Linked DNA regions of Arabidopsis thaliana. The protein of the gene in region 3 interacts with the protein of the main gene of each other region in a pairwise test. Each region holds a gene or a part of one and is shown on either strand. Other genes may lie near its edges.

The links.
Region 1: the proteins of AT4G26550 (region 3) and ATFP8 interact in a two-hybrid assay, tested with the Arabidopsis thaliana proteins (one large-scale study listed by BioGRID).
Region 2: the proteins of AT4G26550 (region 3) and AT1G67860 interact in a two-hybrid assay, tested with the Arabidopsis thaliana proteins (one large-scale study listed by BioGRID).
Region 4: the proteins of AT4G26550 (region 3) and AT5G58750 interact in a two-hybrid assay, tested with the Arabidopsis thaliana proteins (one large-scale study listed by BioGRID).

What each region holds. Positions count from the first base shown.
Region 1 is NC_003074.8:3,707,904-3,714,010, forward strand, and holds ATFP8 (Ras-related small GTP-binding family protein), read right to left. Parts: upstream 3,715-6,107; 5' UTR 3,495-3,714; coding exon 3,481-3,494; intron 3,400-3,480; coding exon 3,327-3,399; intron 3,215-3,326; coding exon 3,167-3,214; intron 3,083-3,166; coding exon 3,035-3,082; intron 2,962-3,034; coding exon 2,890-2,961; intron 2,698-2,889; coding exon 2,542-2,697; intron 2,209-2,541; coding exon 2,105-2,208; intron 1,690-2,104; coding exon 1,587-1,689; 3' UTR 1,228-1,586; downstream 1-1,227. Other genes in the region: AT3G11720 (Polyketide cyclase/dehydrase and lipid transport superfamily protein), read right to left, coding at 82-212, 290-429, 599-697, 778-818; AT3G11740 (LURP-one-like protein (DUF567)), read left to right, coding at 4,524-4,733, 5,009-5,239, 5,343-5,486; AT3G11745 (uncharacterized protein), read right to left, coding at 6,073-6,107. UniProt on the Arabidopsis thaliana protein: Protein transport. Regulator of membrane traffic from the Golgi apparatus towards the endoplasmic reticulum (ER).
Region 2 is NC_003070.9:25,443,943-25,448,265, forward strand, and holds AT1G67860 (uncharacterized protein), read right to left. Parts: upstream 1,416-4,323; 5' UTR 1,235-1,415; coding exon 998-1,234; 3' UTR 810-997; downstream 1-809. Other genes in the region: AT1G67865 (uncharacterized protein), read right to left, coding at 2,518-2,745.
Region 3 is NC_003075.7:13,401,058-13,406,641, forward strand, and holds AT4G26550 (Got1/Sft2-like vescicle transport protein family), read right to left. Parts: upstream 3,329-5,584; 5' UTR 3,152-3,328; coding exon 2,958-3,151; exon of another isoform or gene 2,782-2,957; coding exon of another isoform or gene 2,771-2,781; intron 2,646-2,770; coding exon 2,378-2,645; intron 2,286-2,377; coding exon 2,181-2,285; intron 1,809-2,180; coding exon 1,698-1,808; 3' UTR 1,322-1,697; downstream 1-1,321. Other genes in the region: AT4G26555 (FKBP-like peptidyl-prolyl cis-trans isomerase family protein), read right to left, coding at 3,565-3,642, 3,732-3,802, 3,895-3,940, 4,022-4,082, 4,173-4,266, 4,374-4,408, 4,787-4,969, 5,066-5,121.
Region 4 is NC_003076.8:23,726,391-23,731,448, reverse strand, and holds AT5G58750 (NAD(P)-binding Rossmann-fold superfamily protein), read right to left. Parts: upstream 2,862-5,058; 5' UTR 2,564-2,861; coding exon 1,403-2,563; 3' UTR 1,307-1,402; downstream 1-1,306. Other genes in the region: DDB2 (damaged DNA binding 2), read left to right, coding at 1-100, 183-379, 489-708; AT5G58740 (HSP20-like chaperones superfamily protein), read left to right, coding at 3,921-3,969, 4,071-4,219, 4,334-4,382, 4,687-4,829.

The DNA.
Region 1 (6,107 bases), on a different chromosome or scaffold from region 3:
AACAAGAAAACACTAATTGGCTAACATTATGACAATTCTGTTTCACAAAAACTGTCCAATAGAGCCAAAAGAGAAACATACTTTCCAATCACCATAAGATGCCTCGGTGCTTGATTTAGACAAGTCTTGATCCTTTGTTGATACACTCCTAAGCTTCTCAATTGTACTGGATAAAGCAGCTACTCTTTGATCCAATATATCAACACTACACTCTGTGAAAACATAAAAAAAAAACATTGTAGCAAAGGCAAAATTAAAGAGTATATAGCAAATCAACAACAAGAAAAACCTTCATTGAGTTGTTTTCTGACTAGGGTTTTAAGAGTTTGCTCATTAATGAGCTCAGGAGACGACAAGGTCTCATTAAGTCTCTCTCTGTACTCAGAAACATCTCGTTTCTTCTCCATACTCAATTGAATCAGCAGACACCTTTAGAAAACAAATTAATCCTCAAATCAAAGACCAAAGAGAATCAAAGATTGCCCTGAATTTGTGGAGTCAAGATGAATCATGGGGAAGAAGTGAGAAGAGAACACCTTAAAACGTAAGGCAATTTATAAGAAAGGAAGCTTTTGGTTATAGTTTTGCCAGACAAAACCCAGCTGCTGATGCGTAACCTACGAGACGGGCAAGGAACGTGGAGATGTTTTTCCCGATTAGAAGATACTTTCCCTCATTTTCTCGGGAATATACATATCTGGAGAATGTGAAGAAAAAGTCTCATTACCAATAATAATAAGAATTGGATTTGACAAAGTTTGAGAGTCTGTGTCAGACTTTATTTTAGAGGGACCAGGTCGGTTAACTGTCGTTGTCATGAGATCTTTCCTGTCTGTCTTTTTATCATTCAAACAAAAAAAAATGAATTTATAAAACTTAAACACAAACAAATAAGATCACTTTTGATTTATTTTATTTTTTAAATAAGGATGTGCAGGAATGAGATTTTCTTCTAAAATTGTGGGAGTAAATGAATGAATCTAGGTATGATTGATTTCATCAAAATCAGAAAACTGATTGTTTCTAGAAAAACATGCATTTGGGGTATTTTGAAACCACATGAGTATATGATGAGTTATTATAAACTAGAATTGCGTTGTAAACGAAATAGAACAAATCTTCTTTTGGAAATCCGTATACTTTAGCGTAAGAAAATGGAAGAATTTGATTTGGACTCGTATCTTTGAAGTATATATAATTCAGCATTTACATTATTGAGATTTATCTCTCATATGTTGTTTTTGCTTTTCCTCATTCTATGGACTTAGCTGCAAGTTTTAAATATCTATGGTAATGAACATGGTCCAGCCTATACAGCAACGAATATCTATCACTATTTTTAATATATATACACAATCAAAATTCAAAACCATGAGTTGCTTGCATATCCCTGTGTGGTCAAAGTCAAGACTGAACTATATTAAAGAGAAGTATCTTGCAACTAACACCATAGCTTATTCAAGACACAGCGACATGGAATATTACATTTCTTAGTTGTTTTAAACAGCCATTGGTTTTCACAACACTTAGTTAAAAAGGAAGTAAAAAAAGAGTCTCAGATAGTTTTGATTAAAACATTTTTTAAACTACTGACCGCAGCAACCGCCATTGTTCTGTTGGATTGGCTGACCTTTCATTTGGACAGTTCCAGGACCAGATGTCTTGTTTGCATTCGTTTGGCTTCCCATTCTGCAAAGAAAATGAGTTACGATATGATTAGACTCAATTCTCCATGTTACATAAACTAGACTGAATCAGCAAATGTCGATACAAGATATCAACCATATGGAAAATCTATCAACAGAAGTTAAGTACACAAGCTTGAGGAAGCTACAAGGATACAGCAGTTAGTTTGTTGATTTGCTTTCCATTAGTCATCAAGTCTAGAATAGCACACTTCGGATTTGAAACTTTACATGAATAGTTTATTTCATGAAAACAGTGGAGAATCAAGATGCTTTGCAGCAGAAAAAAACACAGAGAATGATTTGATGTATATAATGGTGATCAAGGAATATAGTAATAGAACAAGTTTACTAAACCTAATCTATGTTAAATCTTCGCAGAAAAAATTATGGCGAAAGATTAAAGATAGTGAACATACTTCTTTTTTATCTCGCCAGCAATAGTTAAGAATGCCTGTTCAACGTTAATAGAATCCTTGGCACTGGTCTCAAGAAAGGGAATTCCAAGCTCATCTGCTAAGGCCTGCAGTGATTTTGAGTAGATGAAATGTAAGAAAACCAATTCACAGTTGTATCAGGAGTAACAGCTGCTGCAAAAATAAGCAATTTCTACTCGGTGGATTCAGATCATCTAGCTTTGGGAATTTGGTCAGAGATCATCTACATTCATAGCCGTAAATTCTGGTATAACAATCTCAATGGTTGTAATATCATCACATGGTTAAAGATATGCGAAACCATGAAATGATCAAATGAGGAAAGGGGAAAGTACCATGCAAAGGATGTTATGCATAAGATAGAAGCAAAATCATAAATGGAAAAATTGCTGGGAACTTAACTAGGGATGTGAGCTTACCCTTCCAGTTTCGGTGGAAACAACTTTGCTTTCAACCATATCATTCTTGTTACCGATTAAAAGCTTGCAAACACTCTCATTGGCATATCTATCGATCTCACTCAACCACTGCTTCACATTGTTGAAGCTTTCCATCTCAGTACAGTCATAAACAATCTGTTGCAATTATCATCATTAAGGTTCATCACTTAAAGGGTGGATTACAACATTAAAATGATTCATATTCCAACATTACAATACCAATCTCAGACTAAACCACTTAAAATGAGAAATGGAAATAGGGACATAACACTAGTCTAGGTAAGCCAAAAAAAAGCAAGTAAGAAAGCGAATATAAAGATTGCTCACAATGATTCCATGAGCTCCTCTGTAATAGCTGCTAGTGATGGTCCTGAAACGCTCCTGTCCAGCAGTATCCCACTAAAAGAGAGCAGCAACAGTAAAATTGAGTAAACACAATCATCCAAAACATATTATATAATTGAAAACTCACAATTTGCAGCTTAATCGTCTTCCCATCCTGCTCAATCGTCCTAATTTTCTGCAAAACCAACCACATTATAAGTAAGTTTGGGATAAAACAATCTCGATCATGTATGTAAACAAGGTCAAAGAATGAACTTACGAAGTCAACACCAATGGTGCTTATGTAGCTGTCAATGTAAGCATCATCCTAGAAATAGCAACAAATCCCAAAATCACGAAACAGTACAAAAGAAGAAACCTAACACGAGCTAATTCTCGACGACGGAATCAATTAAGAATCAAAATCAAGTCAAACTCACAGCGAATCGGAGAAGAAGACACGATTTTCCAACAGAGGAGTCACCGATCAACAAAAGCTTGAACAGATAATCGCTACAACAACAAAAAATCGAAATCGGTGTGAGTAAAATCGAAAACGAAAGAATGGCTCTCAAGGAGGAGAGAAACACTTACTACTCGTTGCTCATGATTTAGCTGAAGACTGCGTTTCCGAGATTTGATTTTCCAAGATGAGAACAACTTTCCGGGAAAAAGCTCTTTTTCTCTATAATATAAGAAACAAAAAAAAAGAGAGGTTTGGGTTTAGGGGGCGTGTCAATCAATTTACATGAACATTGAACCCCACGACTTCTACTGGATTTTTTTGTTCCCAGTTTTTTTAATATTTGTTTAATTCCTTGTTGTTTTTCCCGAGACAATAAAGAAGCTTTGACCTTGTCTCACTGATTTCTTTACGTGTGTGTGTCTTCTTATTTGGGCTTTTTGATAAATGGGCCGAGCTCAAAATCTTGTCTATCTAACTTAACCGTCGTTAACGTCCTGGCCCTGTTATTAAAGGTTTGGATTTTATTACTCATGTATATGTCTCAATTTTTATTTTTATTTTTTTAGAGAAGATAATTTTACATAAATTTGATTTATAATCCGTGATCAAGATGTGAGGAATTAAATATAATGAAGTATTTAAAGCGGATTAAAAAGGTATATTGAAAAAGAAAAGAAAAACTTTGATTGAATATGCATGGATTTTCCAATTTTATATGACAGTATATTTTATCAACAAAATCATTCTCTTTTTCATACTCCATTCATATCATTTTTAATTAAGTCATATTAATCCTACCAAAAGTTACCTTCTAATTTTACGTTTCTTCTAATTTCCTTTTCTGGCAAAAAAGAAGATATTTCCTCAATTTATAATATTTTTTTTCCATCAAACTATTTTTTTTTATATAACCAAAAAAAAAAAGTGTAGTAACGCTAACGTGTTTGCAGCTTGCAACTTGGCTAGCAGATTTAAAATAAGATAAGTTCTAAAAATAAACAAAACATATATAGCCAAAAACACAAAATTAAAAACACGAAGATTTGTTTCACACAATACTTGGAATATCCTAATTATAAATAACTAAAAAGATTGAGAAACGAACACAAATCTCCACCTTATACAAGAATCGTAAAAGAGAAAAAAAAAACAGAGAGAGATCTTCAAAAAGATGGCGATCGTTAGCCCTAATTTCTGTGCACCGTACCCTATCGAGTTGGGAATCGTACGGAAGGTGATGACTTTAACCGATGGTAACTTCGCCGTCACGGACGTTAACGGCAATCTCCTTTTCAAAGTCAAGGAACCTTTGTTTAGCATCAGCGACAAAAGGATTTTATTGGACGCATACGATACTCCAATCTTGACTTTGAGAGAAAATGTAAGTATACGTCTATCAACTACAATTCTTTATAACTTGCATGGAGAGGCACAATTTTTTCATGGTGATACAAAAAAAAAATTTCATTATGCAAATCATATATACACAAACATGCTCTTATAACTTGCATGGAGGTACACTTTTTCAATACGTCTATCAACTAATTGTAAATAATATCAAAATCATCATCACTCATTCGAGTATGTTAAATCGTCATAGATCATCCAATAAAATCTGATCCACAACTTTTTTTTCTTATAACATAAAAATTGTAGAAGGTGAGCTTGCATGATAGGTGGCTAGTATATAGAGGGAAGAGTACAGACCAAAGTGATCTATTATACACATTGAAACGATCTTCAATGATTCAAATAATGAAGCCAAAACTAGACATCTTTTTGGCTCATAATAAAGAAATGAAGATTTGCGACTTCCATGTTAAAGGAAGTTGGATCGACCGGTCTTGTGTCGTCTACGCCGGCAAATCTGATGCCATTGTTGCTCAGGTAATTACACTGATCAAATTGTCTGTAAATTGTATAAACCGGACTAGCTAGTTATATGATCGTGTTAATTGAGTCATTGTTGTTGTTTTGTTGTTTTTTTCAGATGCACAAGAAACATACGGCACAAAGCATATTAATTGGGAAGAGTAATTTTTCGGTTACTGTCTATCCGAATGTTGACTTTGCTTTTATAGTTTCTCTCATTGTAATCCTCGATGACATTAACCGAGAAGATTCAGAAGACTAGATTAAGTTATCAACTAATTTCTTTTTGTGCGTTGCAAATCTAAATAATACTCGAAAACATAGTACAGTATATGTTAATTATTACAATATTTTTAGTGATTTATTTCACCAAGGCCTATCAATTTATATCATTATAATAGTGAAACCGTATTTAAGAAAATGTGCGAAAGACAAATCCAAACTTTTTTGTGGAGGTAGACAAACATCTTCAGGTATCAAAAGTCTCAAAACTTAGTTTTACCATCTCTGAAGTTTCAGCCATTGGAGATTCCTTTAATAGAATCTAAATGGGGGTGGATAAAGAAATGATATGCCAAAGTGATGCGTCAAAAAACATACTCGGATCTAAATATGGCAACATGTTGGGTGATGATGAGGAATTGGAACATTACTTGTCCCCATTTCTTTCCAATGAAATGTGTCTCCTTACAATTAGTAAACTAATTCTATATATCTGGAGCAAGATAGTTCCTCTGCTATGAATATATCATTTAGTTATGTTGGATTTAAACACAAAGGGAATCCAACATAAAGTAACTAAACACATTAACATTCGTTTTGTTCACTGCATCAAACATAATCTTTTCTTATTTTAATTCTTCCAGATCCACCTGCTGCACCT
Region 2 (4,323 bases), on a different chromosome or scaffold from region 3:
CACTAAAAAATATCGAAGATATTCTCCTTCATATGATAAGAAGGATTCAAGAGATTATGATATATAGTAAAACTTTTATAAACTAATACTGGACAAATAAAAAAAAAATGTTATAAATTATTTATATTTTCTAGTTTCGAGTAGGAGTAATATAAAAACTAATACAATTCGATAAGATAGAAAAATAATTATTTTTTGAAAATTTTAATGTAAATCTAAGTTTCTAATAATATAATAATAATTTTATAAACTGCACATATATAACAAAAATAAATACATGATTTTAGTGTTATTTGTATTTTTTTAAAAAAATTACTGATATTACATACTTTTTGGTGTTATGTTTTCGAATTTTAACATATATTAATTTTATTGAGCAATGTGAGAGATAATATATTTAGTGTATATAAGAGGAAGACAACTAAATAACCAGTTGTTGTGAAAACCTATATAGTTGTGATCCACATGAAAATTCCAATACAAGTCTACGCACAAACCCATCTTTTCTAGTTAACGTAATTAGTTTTCTTTGTTCCTTAACTCACTTGTACTTATGTTATTTTAACAAGTAGATTCATGTAATGAACATTAAAGCATGTAACTTGAGGGTTTTTTTCCCTTGTCTTCATCGTGAAACAACATATCTTAATCCAATCATTTTCGTAAATAGTCTTTTCGTTTTCTCTTTCTATATATATAGTTCAATGAGATATAATATACTTCCTAAATATTCATTTCAAATTTTGTCGATAAATATATATTAAAGTCAATTTATATACCGATCTAATATATATTTCTTATGTAATATGATAAATGATTTATTAACTTAAACAAGAACGCTGACAAAAAAAAAAAAAAACTTAAACAAGAACATTTATTTTCATTAAAAGTCCGTCACACAAATACATGATACATCTTACACATTTATTATATGGGGAGTACATAATCGTTACTTTCTTATTTGAACCGTCAGAATATTTGGGTAGTCTAGAGTCCTCTACTCCCTGTCTTTCTGGCGGCGACGGCGGCCGTTCTCCTTAGCCTTCACTGCTGCTGCACCGCCGTTACGGCTAAGGTTGGTCGGGAGCTTCTTTTTGTGCTCCTCGCAGTCGGTACGAGTGCAGCTCTGGTAACTATCGGGGCATATTCCGATCCCTCTGGCGAACCCATCCACCGTTCCAATAATCGCTCCGGCAATCCCTCCGACAATCCCTCCAATAAGCGTATCAAGCATTTTTATATATTAATTCTGTTGTTTTTCTTTGATATGAATAAGAGCTTACAATCTTTCAGATGTTTGTATATATTTATACAATTCTCGTAGTGTTCACTTAAGTTTGTTTGTTATGGCAATTATTCGTCATATGATATCCATGATATGATAAGAATCTTATTCTTTTTTTTTTACCACCACCATACGTAAAATTGAATAGACATGTTTGTTCTTATTCCGTTCGTCTTAAAAAATTCAACGATCACAAAAATTCGTGAAGTAGATGGAAAGAAAGTGGAAAACAAGATAACTATGGACATACACGACCCGTCTTACTTGTCACTCAAATGGTCCTTCAATCGCTATGATGGAAATTGCATCTAATGCTTGCAAAGTTTGAAGACTCTCCAAGTGGAAGTGGACTTAAAGTTTCCCCTTGTTGAAGATTCAGGTCGTTGTTCTAGGCCAGAAAATAAAGCCTTATAAAAGTGTAATAATCTAACTATTCAACTTAGACTCCATAACGCTGTAAATTGCAAGAAAACATTTCTATTAGTATTAAGTTCAAGAATTAGTCTAGACTTTGGATTTAGGAAGACTCTGATTATTGGAAAAAAAAAAAACATTGCTTGTGTAAGGTTCGTTTGATTTTTGAGATAAAAGTGTAGACAACTCTATCAATGACATTCATGGAATTCTTCAAGAAATTCGACAGCTTCAAGGTTGTTTCCGTTCTATCTCCTTTAGTTATATTTCTCGTCTTTCCAATTCAAAAGGCAGACGCTGTCGCCAAATATGCTATCTGTGTTTGTGTTTCCCTCAAGAACATTGCATAACTGAAAAGGCTAATCGAATCAACAAAAAATCCTATGATCCGTCTAATTTAGTAAATGAATTACTTGTTTGAATCAAATCTATGAGCTTAAAGTTTTGGTCGATAAATGCAAAATAAATTATCTAATTATTTAGATGAACCAGAAACATTAAAACGACATATCCTACTGCACTACGTAACTTATAAATTCATTAGGGTTTTCGTTACACCATAACGTTACTTTTCAAACTTAATTGTGTGCAAATAAATTCAATCTTTTCACGTGTGGAAATAACTGTTAATATACATCACTTTTATTAAACACACTCCTTTTATTAATCATAAAGTTCATAAAATTAAACAAGAAGACTTTTCATTAAAAGTCTCCTATATTTTTGGTAAGATACTGAAACATGTCCATCTTATACATACATCGTATACATTTATTATTTTGGATACATAATCATTACTGGGTGTGGTCAGGAGTCCTTTACTCCCTGTCTTTCTGGCGGCGGCCGCCGGAGTTCTCGGATGCCTTCACTGCACCGCCATTACCATTGCCGTAGTTTCCCGGACTCGTCATATTGTTGTTCTCGAAGCGACCGGTGCTCTGATAATTATTGGGCCATATCCCGACCCCTTTGGCAAACCCATCGACCGTTCCAAGAATCCCTCCGGTAATCCCTCCGGCAACCCCAATAATAAGCTTATCAAGCATTTTTCTTTATATTTATCTACTTGTGTTAGTTTTCTTTGATATGGATAAGTGTTTTAATCTTTCAGATGTTTTCTATATATAGAAAAAATTTCTTGTATATAGTTCCCTTTTTTATGATCTGAATCTTATTCTCTTAGTACCATCACTACCGAAAGTTGAATAGATATGTTTGTTCTAATTCCGTTCGTCGTTTTTAATAATGATCACATGGGAAAGATCCAAACTAAGGAGGTTTCTGTCTACGGACACGTTTTCTTTAAAAAATCAGACCCTATAGACCCTCAAAAATAGATGTTGTATGTGTATCAACTAATGTTTAGTCCAAAAAGGCATGTTTTGACAGCAATACTAGTAACGAACATTAGAAAAGATGTGTGGATAAGTTTAGTGTAAGGCCCATCTCCTTCGTGGAATGGTCTCTTCAATCGTTATGATGGAAATTGCATCTAATGCTTGCAAAGTTTGAAGAGTCTCTCTTAACCAAGTGATAGCGGATTCTCATTGTTGGTCTAGTCCATGAAAAGAATTTCCTTAAACGTGGAATTATCTAACTATCCCGCTTAGCCACTCGTCGACGCTTTCAGTGGCAATAAAACTCATATTAATACTTGGCTCAGGAATTAGTTTGGACTTCGGTCGACAAAGACCTAGTCCCGATTATTAAAAAAAAAACGTTAATGACAGTGTAAAGTTTATTTTAAAAAACAGATTTCTATGAGGTAAAAGAAGAAAATGTTATTCCCTTTGGAGATTATTCGAAATATCATCGTACGATCATATGAATCTTATTCTCTTTTCTACCACGAAAGTTGAATAGTCATGTTTGTTCTAATTCCGTTCGTCTTTTAAATTAAAGATCAGTCCTATTCATATGGGAACATTTCGGAATTGGCTGAGTATTAATGGAAGCATAATAATGAAACTGGAAATTAAACCTAGTCTAGTTCTATTTATTACGGATTTTATTTGATTTTATATTAAATTTGTTTGAGTTAAAATTTTCATTCATTTTTGGATTTCGACGAAGCGTTGTGTAACTTTTTTTTTTTTTTTTTTGTTCTTTGCTAATAGCCACGTAACGTGCATGACATGAGTAAGCCGGCCACGTTAGCGAAAAGTGGGAAGTAACACAAGAAGTCTAAAGACCATGGGATATTCAATGGTGAGGGTTAAAAAATACCGAGATTAAGTAGGAAGAAGATGAGGAAAGAAGACTTGTGTTAGAATATTGGAGACAAACCAATGATCCTTAGACGAAGCAAAGAAGAGAACCTCCAAGAGAAGTAACGGTGATTGTGGTGACCGTAGGGATTACTTTCAGCTTTGGTAACCATAAGTAAAATGATGATAAATTCAATTTGGATAGAAAAATACACCACTTAAGTAGCATCCCACATCAATCCACGAAACTGAAAAGATCAAAACATTTGCTATTAAAGGAACTATTCCAAAAATTTAGTGAAACGTGCCTAACATAACACATATACAACCGATAATCCGATATGTACTTTGAAAATCGGAGGAAGCCCACCAAATATACCAGAAAGTTGGCTAGATCTCATCAAGTAAATGCAAGAT
Region 3 (5,584 bases):
GATCCAATGAATAAAAATTTAGTATGATATAGATTTAATATGGATGTAAATCTTGTCTATATAGAGGAGTTTACCTTCTGCATTTTTGCCTGGTTTTAATATATCGAATTTGGTATTAACTTTAAAAATTACATTATCATATATGCCTTATGCAATGATCAAATGCCCAAAATTATAAATAAATTATCAATGTTTTAGTTATTTTTTCAGCTTTGTTTTTCAACTTTCCGCTTGAATTCCTCCTTTTTTCTTTTAACTTTTAGTTTTTTTGTCTAACCATGAATAGAATTCATTAAGACTTCAGCCAATTAAAAGGCCTTTTTCTAGTTTTCTAATTTAAACGTTGCACGACCACAGATTTATAGATTAGAGAAAGAGAAAGCATAGTACTAAATTTTGAACTGATTAAAACAATAATGTTTATGTCTTTTTAACTAACATTGCTTAGTGGAGAAGATGAGCTTTTGCTTTCAACTAATATTATCTCTCGCTCAAAAGCTTTTGTTTTCAAATAAATATCAGAAACAATACGTGTAATGTAAGGTCAAATGTTCCTGCTCCATTGTTTCCGTATTTTCAGGATTTGGGTTTCCCGCTCACTAAGCATTATACCCCAACATCAAGATAAACAAATAGATCAACAATTATAATATTTTCTTACCACTATCGTACACAAAATAAACAAACAAACACTTGGAGTTTCCATTTTCAAGTGGAAGTTTATTTAGAATGCTTGTCAAAGATCTTCAGCGTGATATACATGTAGAGCCTTTCGTTGTATTTCAATTATGATAAGACTACAAGTGTACAACATTTCTATGGTATATATAGCGTGAGTACGTAGAAACGTCTATCATGAATCTTTGTACATGTAAGACGACCCGTCGTGAAACAACCATGAACCGTTTATGTGCGGCATGGTGTTAGATTTTCGCATCTTGAATGATAAAATTCATTGTTTATCTTGTCATATGACAAAAAGAATTATAATTTTTCCATTGATTTGATTATCGTCGATGTGTAACCACTCAAATTCAGATCTAAATATTATATGTTATTGATAAAAATAATGATCAAGACATAATTATTCATCATTGATAATCTTTAACTAAAGATGGTCCTAAACACACTGCTTTTGACTGATGGTCCCAGTTTAAAGAGCCGAACAATCTTTTATCGGGCTTTACTTGGCCAACCAAAACCTATGTTGCATATACTTTTCTCAGCAGTAATACAGGACAGCAAAATACACACGTCTTATTGATATTGTGATCACTTGATGATCTTAATCGGGACATGATCTAAACGTTTTTTTTTTTTTGCAAAAACAAGACCTAATCAGCTTAAGTATTTGTTACAATGTCTATACCCTAAAGAGTTTCACATTGTCACCTATCAGAACTTCGCTAACACATTTTGGGAAACGAATCAGTCGACACCATCCTGCGTGGGAATTAGGAAACTCATTTTGACATTTTCTTGGTACAATGGATTTTTTCGTTTTGGTTCGGGAATCACCAGCAACTAAAAAAAAAAGAACATCAATTGGGTTCTTCACTAAACATTTCCTTCACGATCATTTATCTTTTCGAGGGATTTCATCAAATCTATGTTAAAGAGTATACCAAAAAACGCTTCGACATCTTTCTTTGTACACCGACAAGTATTGTTCTCTCTCCCAGATTGGCTACGAAAGCTTATCTCCCGAAAACTCTTAGCGCAGATGAGGTGAGAGCAGAACTGAGGAACCTCATGCCTGATGATCCACCAGGGAAGTAGGATATACAGTAGTAAACCAGCGCAAGAACCTGTCCATTAGCACAAAAAGAAACAGATACTGGAGATTATGAGATTCAGCAGAATGCGCGGATTTTGCGAGCAGAAGTTCTCAAAACCTCTACAAGTATATCTTTCATACAGTCCAAATAGATAACGGGTGAAGACCCAGATAAGTATCACCACTTGTTCGAGAGTCTAATGTTTGTTGCTAAACTCTGGAGATTCGAAAGGTTCCATCTCAAGACCGATTCAACAATGAGGTGAGTTACTATATGATCTTAAATACTTTGGTGAGGTCCAATATTGTTTTCCACTTGCTCATAGCAATATCTCATTTTGAAAAACTTAAACTCATAATTAAAGGGAATATCCTAAGAATTGGAAGATGAAATGTTTAGTACCTGTAACACTGAGAAGAGCACCGAGAGAATGTAGCTGTGGAGAACCATTGATACGTATATGGTACCAACCATGGTAGCAATGAAACCTAGGGTTGAAGGAAGCCTCTGGAGAAGTACACAAGATATTCAAAAGAGAGGAAGGAAATCACTCTTGGATTTAAGGCATGACAGACACACAATAGAACAGTGTAACATACCTCCATCGAAGACATGTGTGCGAGCTGATTTTTAGGGCCACGAAGTGCGAAGAAGGATCCAATGATGAATCCACATCCAAGGGTGAAACAAATGGCAAATTTCTGTGGCATAAGCACCATGACTGGAAGAAACATTGTGAAGGCAATGAAGATGAAGAAAACACCACTTGCGAGAAGTAAACCGAAATACATGAGCGCTTTTCCTGAAGGCATACTACTTGTTGCTGACTGCAAGCTCCCTGGAATATCTCTAACTCCTTTTGAAACCCTGTAGTCATCAAATTCAGGTACATTGCAAAAACAACAGAAGAACAAGAATTTTATCAGAGAAACAAAAGAAGATTCCTGAAAACAACTACAAATATAAATAACTCAATAGACTTATTCACTAACTCTAAATCCATTGGTATGCAAAACTCATAAATGCATTTCCCAAACTATCAAATCTCACAATCAACAAAGTAAATCTCAATAGCTCAGATTCACTAACACCCACTTCTCACTACCACTAATAAACCTCATCTTCTTAGATTCAGTCACGGAATAAACATTATGAGATGACTAATTGCAATCTACTTACACACTGAAGGTGCCCGAAACAGTGTCATTGGCAGATCTAACGGCGGATTCGATATCAAAGCCGAAGCTTCCGCCGCTTTCCTCGAAATCTCTAGAGGCTGCGTAAGAATTCCAATCCGCAAGCAGAGACGAACCCGATTGCTGCTGCTGATCTACGGTGCTACTCCCGCCCATCGAAAACCATCCTTGTGACATTTTTTGGGTTTCGGGATCTTCAAGGAAAGCAAACAATGATAGACCAGAACGCCGGCGATCGGATATTTTTCGTTGACGTTTTAAGGTTTTTTGGTAAACGCCGCAGCTAAAGAATTACTTACTCGGGAAGAAGAAGACGGGAGAACCGATGCTGTAACGTCGATAGAAGTCAACGGCGTCGTTTCTTAAGTAACTTAGCTTTACCATTTTTTTCCCCGAGTAAAACGAGTAATTTGGAAACTTCTTGAGTGAATTTAAAAATACTGGTATGGTAATTCCCTTATTAATCCAAGCCTTAAAGCAGAACTCATCAAGATATGTAGTTCCAAGCAGTTGTTGTTACAGATTTACAATAGAAAATAAATAATCTCACAGCCAAAATACTTCATTAACAGTCAGTGACAGGACAAATATCATAATACTTTCAAGAGCTGGATTTCAAAGACCAGAGGCTCGTTCGCATGCGATAGAAGGCTGCGTCGTGGTCCAAACTGCATCCACAAACACATATGAGAGATCATTTGAGACATACGTATGTAGCAAGTTCATTGTGGAAGATGAAGAGTAAAGATCTGACTACCTCCTCGGGGATTGGCTTCAATGTCTCGTTTATGTACCCTACTGATGGAGGTATCAGTGCCCTACGCTTCCCTTCATCCGCAAAAGACCATTATGTGCGAGTCATTAGAAATATGAGATTACATCAAAAGACCAAAATCTTATTTGTTGTTTCAAGTTTTTACCTCCAGCTTTCATGCCCACCAAGACTTCTTTCAAGCCCTCAATTACCTGTCATGCGAAGCAGTTTGTTAGTACAGGCCATGATTGGAACGCTATGTTATATGCAAGGTTGAGTGCAAATCAAAGTACGTCGTTTTCATCGAGAATAAGTTTGACAGGAGAGCTTTCACCACTGAATTGATCCACCGTGCTGAATCAAGAAACTATGAGAGTTAAAAAGAGGATCAGATTTGGATGAAAGAAACTATCAAGGCATCTAAAGTTTTGCATGAAATCTAACCTATGAACGAAATATCCATTTGCACGCCGACACACATAGTTTAGTTCGACCAGGTCCCCTTCATGAGCTTCTCGTCCTTCACCTTCAATTATCTCTAAAACAAGACTTCCATGATTAGCAAATAAAACGAACAATATTACAAGTTTTTGAATGTTATCATCAGAAGGAACAACAGACAGAATTCTAGCGAAAGATTAGTACCTTGATACCTCACGCCACTCGGGAGTTTCAATGTCCTGCATTCTTCGATCGCCAACCAAAAAAACAATTAAAAACTAGGATGAGGAACTAAGTCCATGCAACAAGTAGAACAATCCAATAAGCTCAAAGAAGCTTTCACATATTCCTCACTTCTTTGTGTACATGGCTTATCAATGCAATAAACAAGCACATTAAACAGGAAGCCATAAAATATTGCAATTCATAAACTAGTAAAAGATTATTTGAAAAGCAGACCAGAAATATAATCACAAAATCATTTCAAACATGGACACAACTACAAATTTTCCTCAATGCTAGCATCTACAATTATCATCGACGTTCTAACGCAATTTCCTGAATCAAAATCAAAATGAAAAAGGAGTTTAGATAGCTCAGAGAAGTACCAATTTTACCTGATCACTTCAGGTTCCTTCATCTGAGGAACCGGCGCCGCTAAACTAGGAAAATCCAGAAGCGTCAAGACCGAACCAAATCCAGACAGCTGCATAAACATCCTTCTGGGTACATGTACAGCCGAGACCGAAGAGAATCCAACACGACTAATCCTAGAAACGCTGTTCCTTGATTTTCCCGCGCTGATAAATAAAATAAAAAAGGTTCAATCTCCAGCGACCATACTCTCAAATCGACGGAGATAGAAAATTATGAGATTCCAAAACATACGAATCTACCTTAAGGCCATGGATGATCCAACGAAAGGAAGAGAAATCTCCATAGCCATCGCCATCGCCGTCGTCGTCAACAGTCTTCTTCTTCTTCTTCTATGGATAGTGGATAAGAAAAAGAGTGAGAGATGAGATTAGCTACGGAGCAACCCACCACTAAACTTAGTGGACCTGTGGGACCCACACTGCTTATGAATTTTGTTGTGAAAAAAATACGCGCTACGGTAACGCGTGAGGATCTATTTTTCCTTCTTTTTTTGTTTATTTTGTTTATTTTGTTAAATACATCCGGTTCGATCAAACCGGCGATTTCAATTTTGACTTGAGAATTCAGATTAGAGCATAGCCGATCATTGGTGTTGAGTTCTTCTCTCTTTTTTTTCTAGCAGTTTGCCCTTTCAATGCTCTAGCAGTTTGCTTTTACATGTCTCAAGATTAGTAGTAGATCTACAGATGCGAGGAGAAAATCATCAACGGATTTGTTTTTTTTCCACACAAAGGAACAACAAAATCTTGAAAATGTTG
Region 4 (5,058 bases), on a different chromosome or scaffold from region 3:
CTCTATCTTCGGGAACTTAGATTTGCCAAGCCGAGAGATTGTTCATAGTAATGATTTCAATCGGCATTTGACACCATTCAAAGCTGAATGGGACCCTAAGGTTTGATACTTTAACCTCTTTCTCCTCTCCTTTTCCATCAATTCCCCTTTTTATTCAACATTTGTTATATGTTCATCCGCAGGATACCTCGGAGTCACTCATCGTGATTGGTCGTTACATCAGTGAAAACTACAACGGAACTGCTCTTCACCCAATAGATTTCATTGATGCAAGCAATGGACAATTGGTTGCAGAGGTTATGGATCCAAACATCACAACTATTACTCCAGTCAACAAGTTGCATCCTCGCGATGATGTTTTAGCTTCAGGAAGTTCAAGGTTCGGGATTCATTACCCAACAGCTACAATAGTAACCGTTGGTGGACACTTTTTCTTATTGACTGATCTCTCATTGGTGTGGATTTGGTTTCGAAATCCGGTTTTGCAGGTCGCTGTTCATTTGGAGGCCACAGGATAATACAGAGATGGTTGAGGAGAAGAAGGATAAGAAGATTATCATATGTTATGGTGACAGCAAGAAGAAAGGAAAGAAGCAAAAGCGTGGCAGCGATGATGAAGACGATGAAGATGACATATTTAGCTCTAAAGGCAAAAACATAAAAGTCAATAAGTATCAAGCAAAAACAACCAAGAAGACAAAAACTTAATATGAGTGAAGAAGGTCGTTATGTATAACTAACTTACTCTGTTTTTGTAGGTTTTCTTGTACAGAGTCTGTTTTAGTAGCATCCCCTGTTTTGCCTTTGGCGGCAATTTTGCTTCTTTTTTCTTTTGGGGGCGCATGATCGGCTTTTGTATGGCATTTTCTTGAAATCCTTTTTGGTGATTCTTAAGTATGAATTGTAGTAAGTATGTGGAATGGATCAATCTTGAATCTTCTCTTCAGTTTTTACTCTCCCCTGTTTTCTCTTACTTGTTGGAATGATTCTTGATCTCGCTGAGTGAAGAGTGGAGACATGGGATGAAATGTCTTTACTCTTACGTCATCTTGACAGCCAAAACTCATCTGTACTACGTATGCAATAACATCGATAAACAAACTGAGTCCAGCTAATCATCTTGTTGTTGTCTCAAGTATGGTCTGCCACTACTTCATCTTATTATATGTCACAATACATTCACATTTGTTCGGACGCGTTTACGAAACCTGACTGGAATTTTGGTTATCCACTGCTTGGAATCTAACTTAGCTATTGCATTTCACTGCAAAGGATTTATGTTTAATGATTTAGCTTAAAAGGATTTGTGGAAAGCTCATTATTCAAACAAACAAAACTTACATGAGGATTATTGATCAAGTACATATATACCGTGATCTACATTGCTAATGTACAACATGTGTTACAAAGGAATGAGTTTTTCATCTCTCATCACATCAATCCAATACAAAACCGAATCTAGGGTTCTATATTTCCTCTTAAACCCAAACCTATCTACTTTTTCTCTTTTCCCAAGAAGCTTAAACGGACATCTAAACAGAGCATCCAAGAAATACCAATTCGCCAAATCCTCAATCTCTGTCCTAACAAGCTTCTCCTTCACAACAATCTCATCCCACACATGTTTTCTCTCAACCATCTCTCTCCCAAACCAGAAACCTTCATCAAACATGGTTGTTTCGTTAACTTGTACACCAAGTTTCTTCCCTATTTCCGGCCAAATCTCCTTCCAAGTAAACCCTACTCCATTAATGGCGTTAAAAGCTTCCCCTTTCTCGCGTACTTTCCCACTTGTTGCAGCGAATATATGCTGCTCCGCGACTAAATTCGAATCAGAGCCATCTATGTAACTCTCTTCCCAACATTCTCTTGTTCCTCCAAACACAAAAGGAAGATTCAAATACTTACACATCGCTCCATAAACACAAAGACTTCCCATGAAGTTGTACAGAGTTCTTGAAGAGCTTCCCATTAGCAAACCAGGTCTTTGAACCGACCAAACAACGGAACTACGAGTGATCTTCTCCTTCAGCAAGTCCTCCAAAACATAGTAGAAATTCTTCCCAGAGCTCTTTCTTGGACACTCCTCGCTGTAATAATACAAACTCGAACCTTCTCCACGAGCCATTGTCTCTTCCACCAAAGACACATAATGCTTCATCCCCGTTTGAAGCGAGAAATGCTTTAACCTCTTAGCGTTTGGGAGAATCGCGTCCAAAGCGTTCATCAGCATCGTCTTGTTCTGTACGCAACATTCGTCGGTATCCAATGGAAACTCACCAGACCACGTGACCCAAAACACGTGACTCACGATGTCTTGTAATGGAGACAACCTCTGTTTAGTCTCAGATGCGTTAAGCAGATCGCAGGAGATGAAGTTGTACATCTTCGTCATGGAATTGATCTCCGGGTTACGCGCTACGCCGTAGATTCTCCATCCTGGTTTAGACATTAATAGCGTCTTAACAATCTCTCGACCCACAAGCCCGGTGACGCCAAAGATTAACGCTACATTCTCGTCTACTTCGTTTCTTCTCATCAAGCTGCCATTTTCAGACCCCATTGTGATTATTAGTGAGTTATGGACTTTGATCAAAGCTTCATATAAACGCTTAGAGTAAAGACAAAAAAAGTTTGTGGGACTGATTCAACGTGTTTTAGGATAGTTTCAAGACTCGATGCTTACCTGTTTTAAAGGCTATGATAAATTATCCAAAGCAAGTTGCTTTGAACACAGCTACGATGTAGCATAACGAAGCAACATTTGTTTAAGATAAAATAGACTAAAGTCAAACAGTGTTTTGGGTTTCATGTTAACGTGTTTATCAATTTAATTTGTGGTTCTGGAATGTGTTACGAAAGCAACAGTTGTTACAATAGTTTTTTAAGGAACCGTCGTGTACAGCATTTTGTCCGGTTCTCAATCGGACGGTCAAGATTTTGCGAGAGGCAGAGTCTGGCCCGTGGTTGCTGGCCGGCTTTTAAAATTATAGTACACTTCAAGTGGGTCTCTACTCTAATAGTATTCATTTTAGTTAACAGTCTCACCGGTCAAAACCGAATATTAGCCGACAACTTATTCAATGAACTAGTTATATATACACTCGTGAGTCGTGATGATTGTTTTTTCATAACTAGAACTCATGTACCCGAAACCAAACCGATTTGAGATCTAACTGTCGTTCGATTCATGCAGTGGCCAAACATGTATCATATCGAATTTCATCAAATGAAACAAGTTGACCAATGGAATTGAGAAAGTAAGTTTTTGGATTAGCGAAATGGAAGACCATAATTTACATTATCAAACAACTTTTTGATTGATCAAAATTATTCTTCTGTTATAAGTCAAAGTCTTTGATCACGTATAACGTTTTAATATGAGAAAATTGAATAACTACCCTGTCTACGTTGAAGAAACTGAAAGGGGGAAATGGGTACAGTGTATCTCTTGTCCCAAAGGACATTGAAAAGCTAAAAAACTAACACACTTGGCTACGTTTAAGGCTTTAAAATGGACCATGTTTTGTGGTAGACCTACACATTACTCTTCTTTCAATTTTGTTTTCCTCCGTATTCTATGCATTGAATAGACCCACTTCTCATCTTTAAATTTTCTGTGGAATTGTGAAAGAGTGTTCTACTTTGGCGACAACAAAAAAATGTTTCTTGGAACTTGGAAGAACTTCAATAAAACGGCATGGAGTTTTGACTTCCAAGTTAGAAACGGAGTGTACCTCAAGAAAAGGGATCTAAGCGTAAATAACTAAAACTAAGAACCCTAAAAGAAAATACATGATTATGAAAGGACTGAATCATAAATGCCTGTCCTCCAATGTTGAGACGAATTGAAAAGGAACCAGAACAACTACTATCAACGGTGATCGATTTCGCCGGGAACGGAGAAGAAAACCCTAGATATGGCGGAGAAGCTTGCGCCAGAGAAGAGACACGATTTCATTCACAATGGTTTCTCGCTTTCTCTATCCCCTCGCTCTATTTCTCTAATTTCAGCTGATTCCATTTCACGAGATTTGGTTTGAATGTTCTTCGATTTCCGATGGTTATAGGTCAAAAGGTATTTGAGTGGGATCAAACCCTGGAAGAAGTGAACATGTACATAACTTTGCCGCCAAATGTTCATCCAAAGTCATTCCACTGCAAAATCCAGTCGAAACATATCGAAGTTGGCATCAAAGGCAACCCTCCCTATCTCAATGTCAGTTTCTTTCGCTATCTTTCAATGTTTTTGATCCGTTTGTCTCATAAATCTGAGTTATTCGATGTGGTATATATAACTCGATTCAATTGTCTAAATTTTGTCAATTTTCAGCACGATCTTAGTGCTCCTGTGAAGACTGATTGCTCGTTCTGGACTCTAGGTACTCCATTTTTTGTTTTTGTGTCTGTATTGGGTGCTTGTTTTTGATGGTTAGGTTTCTGTTTTTAGACCCGTTCACTATTGCTAGAGAGGATAAACTGAACCTGGAAATGTGATCTGAGTTTGGTATAAATAGTGGGACATATAGTTTGGAATGTGGAAAATTTGAGACTAATGGAGGGATGATGGAATGTACAGTATATTTTGGGTTATATTATCAGCGTATGTAAGTTACTGGCATAGTTTTTTTAGGTTCATAGTCTGGCACTGATTGCTAATCTGGATTGTTATGTTTGATTTGGCAGAGGATGATATAATGCACATTACCCTGCAGAAGAGGGAGAAAGGGCAAACATGGGCATCACCGATTCTGGGACAGGGTCAGTTAGATCCTTACGCCACTGATCTTGAGCAGAAGCGGCTCATGCTCCAGAGGTTTCAAGAAGAGGTTAGCTACCTGTAAAAGTCCTCTTGGTTTCATATGGTTTCTGCTTTTGAAAAAATAAATGTTGTTTTCTAGGTCTTCTAATTGATCTCCAAAGCAAATCTTAGGCACCACTACTGAGTAGAATGAATCTATGTCAAAGTATGATTACTTTGCCATAAATGATCGTTTTGGATGAGTCATGTCCCATGATTGTTTTCTTTGTTCAAGCTCTCTTATTTTGTTTCTTATG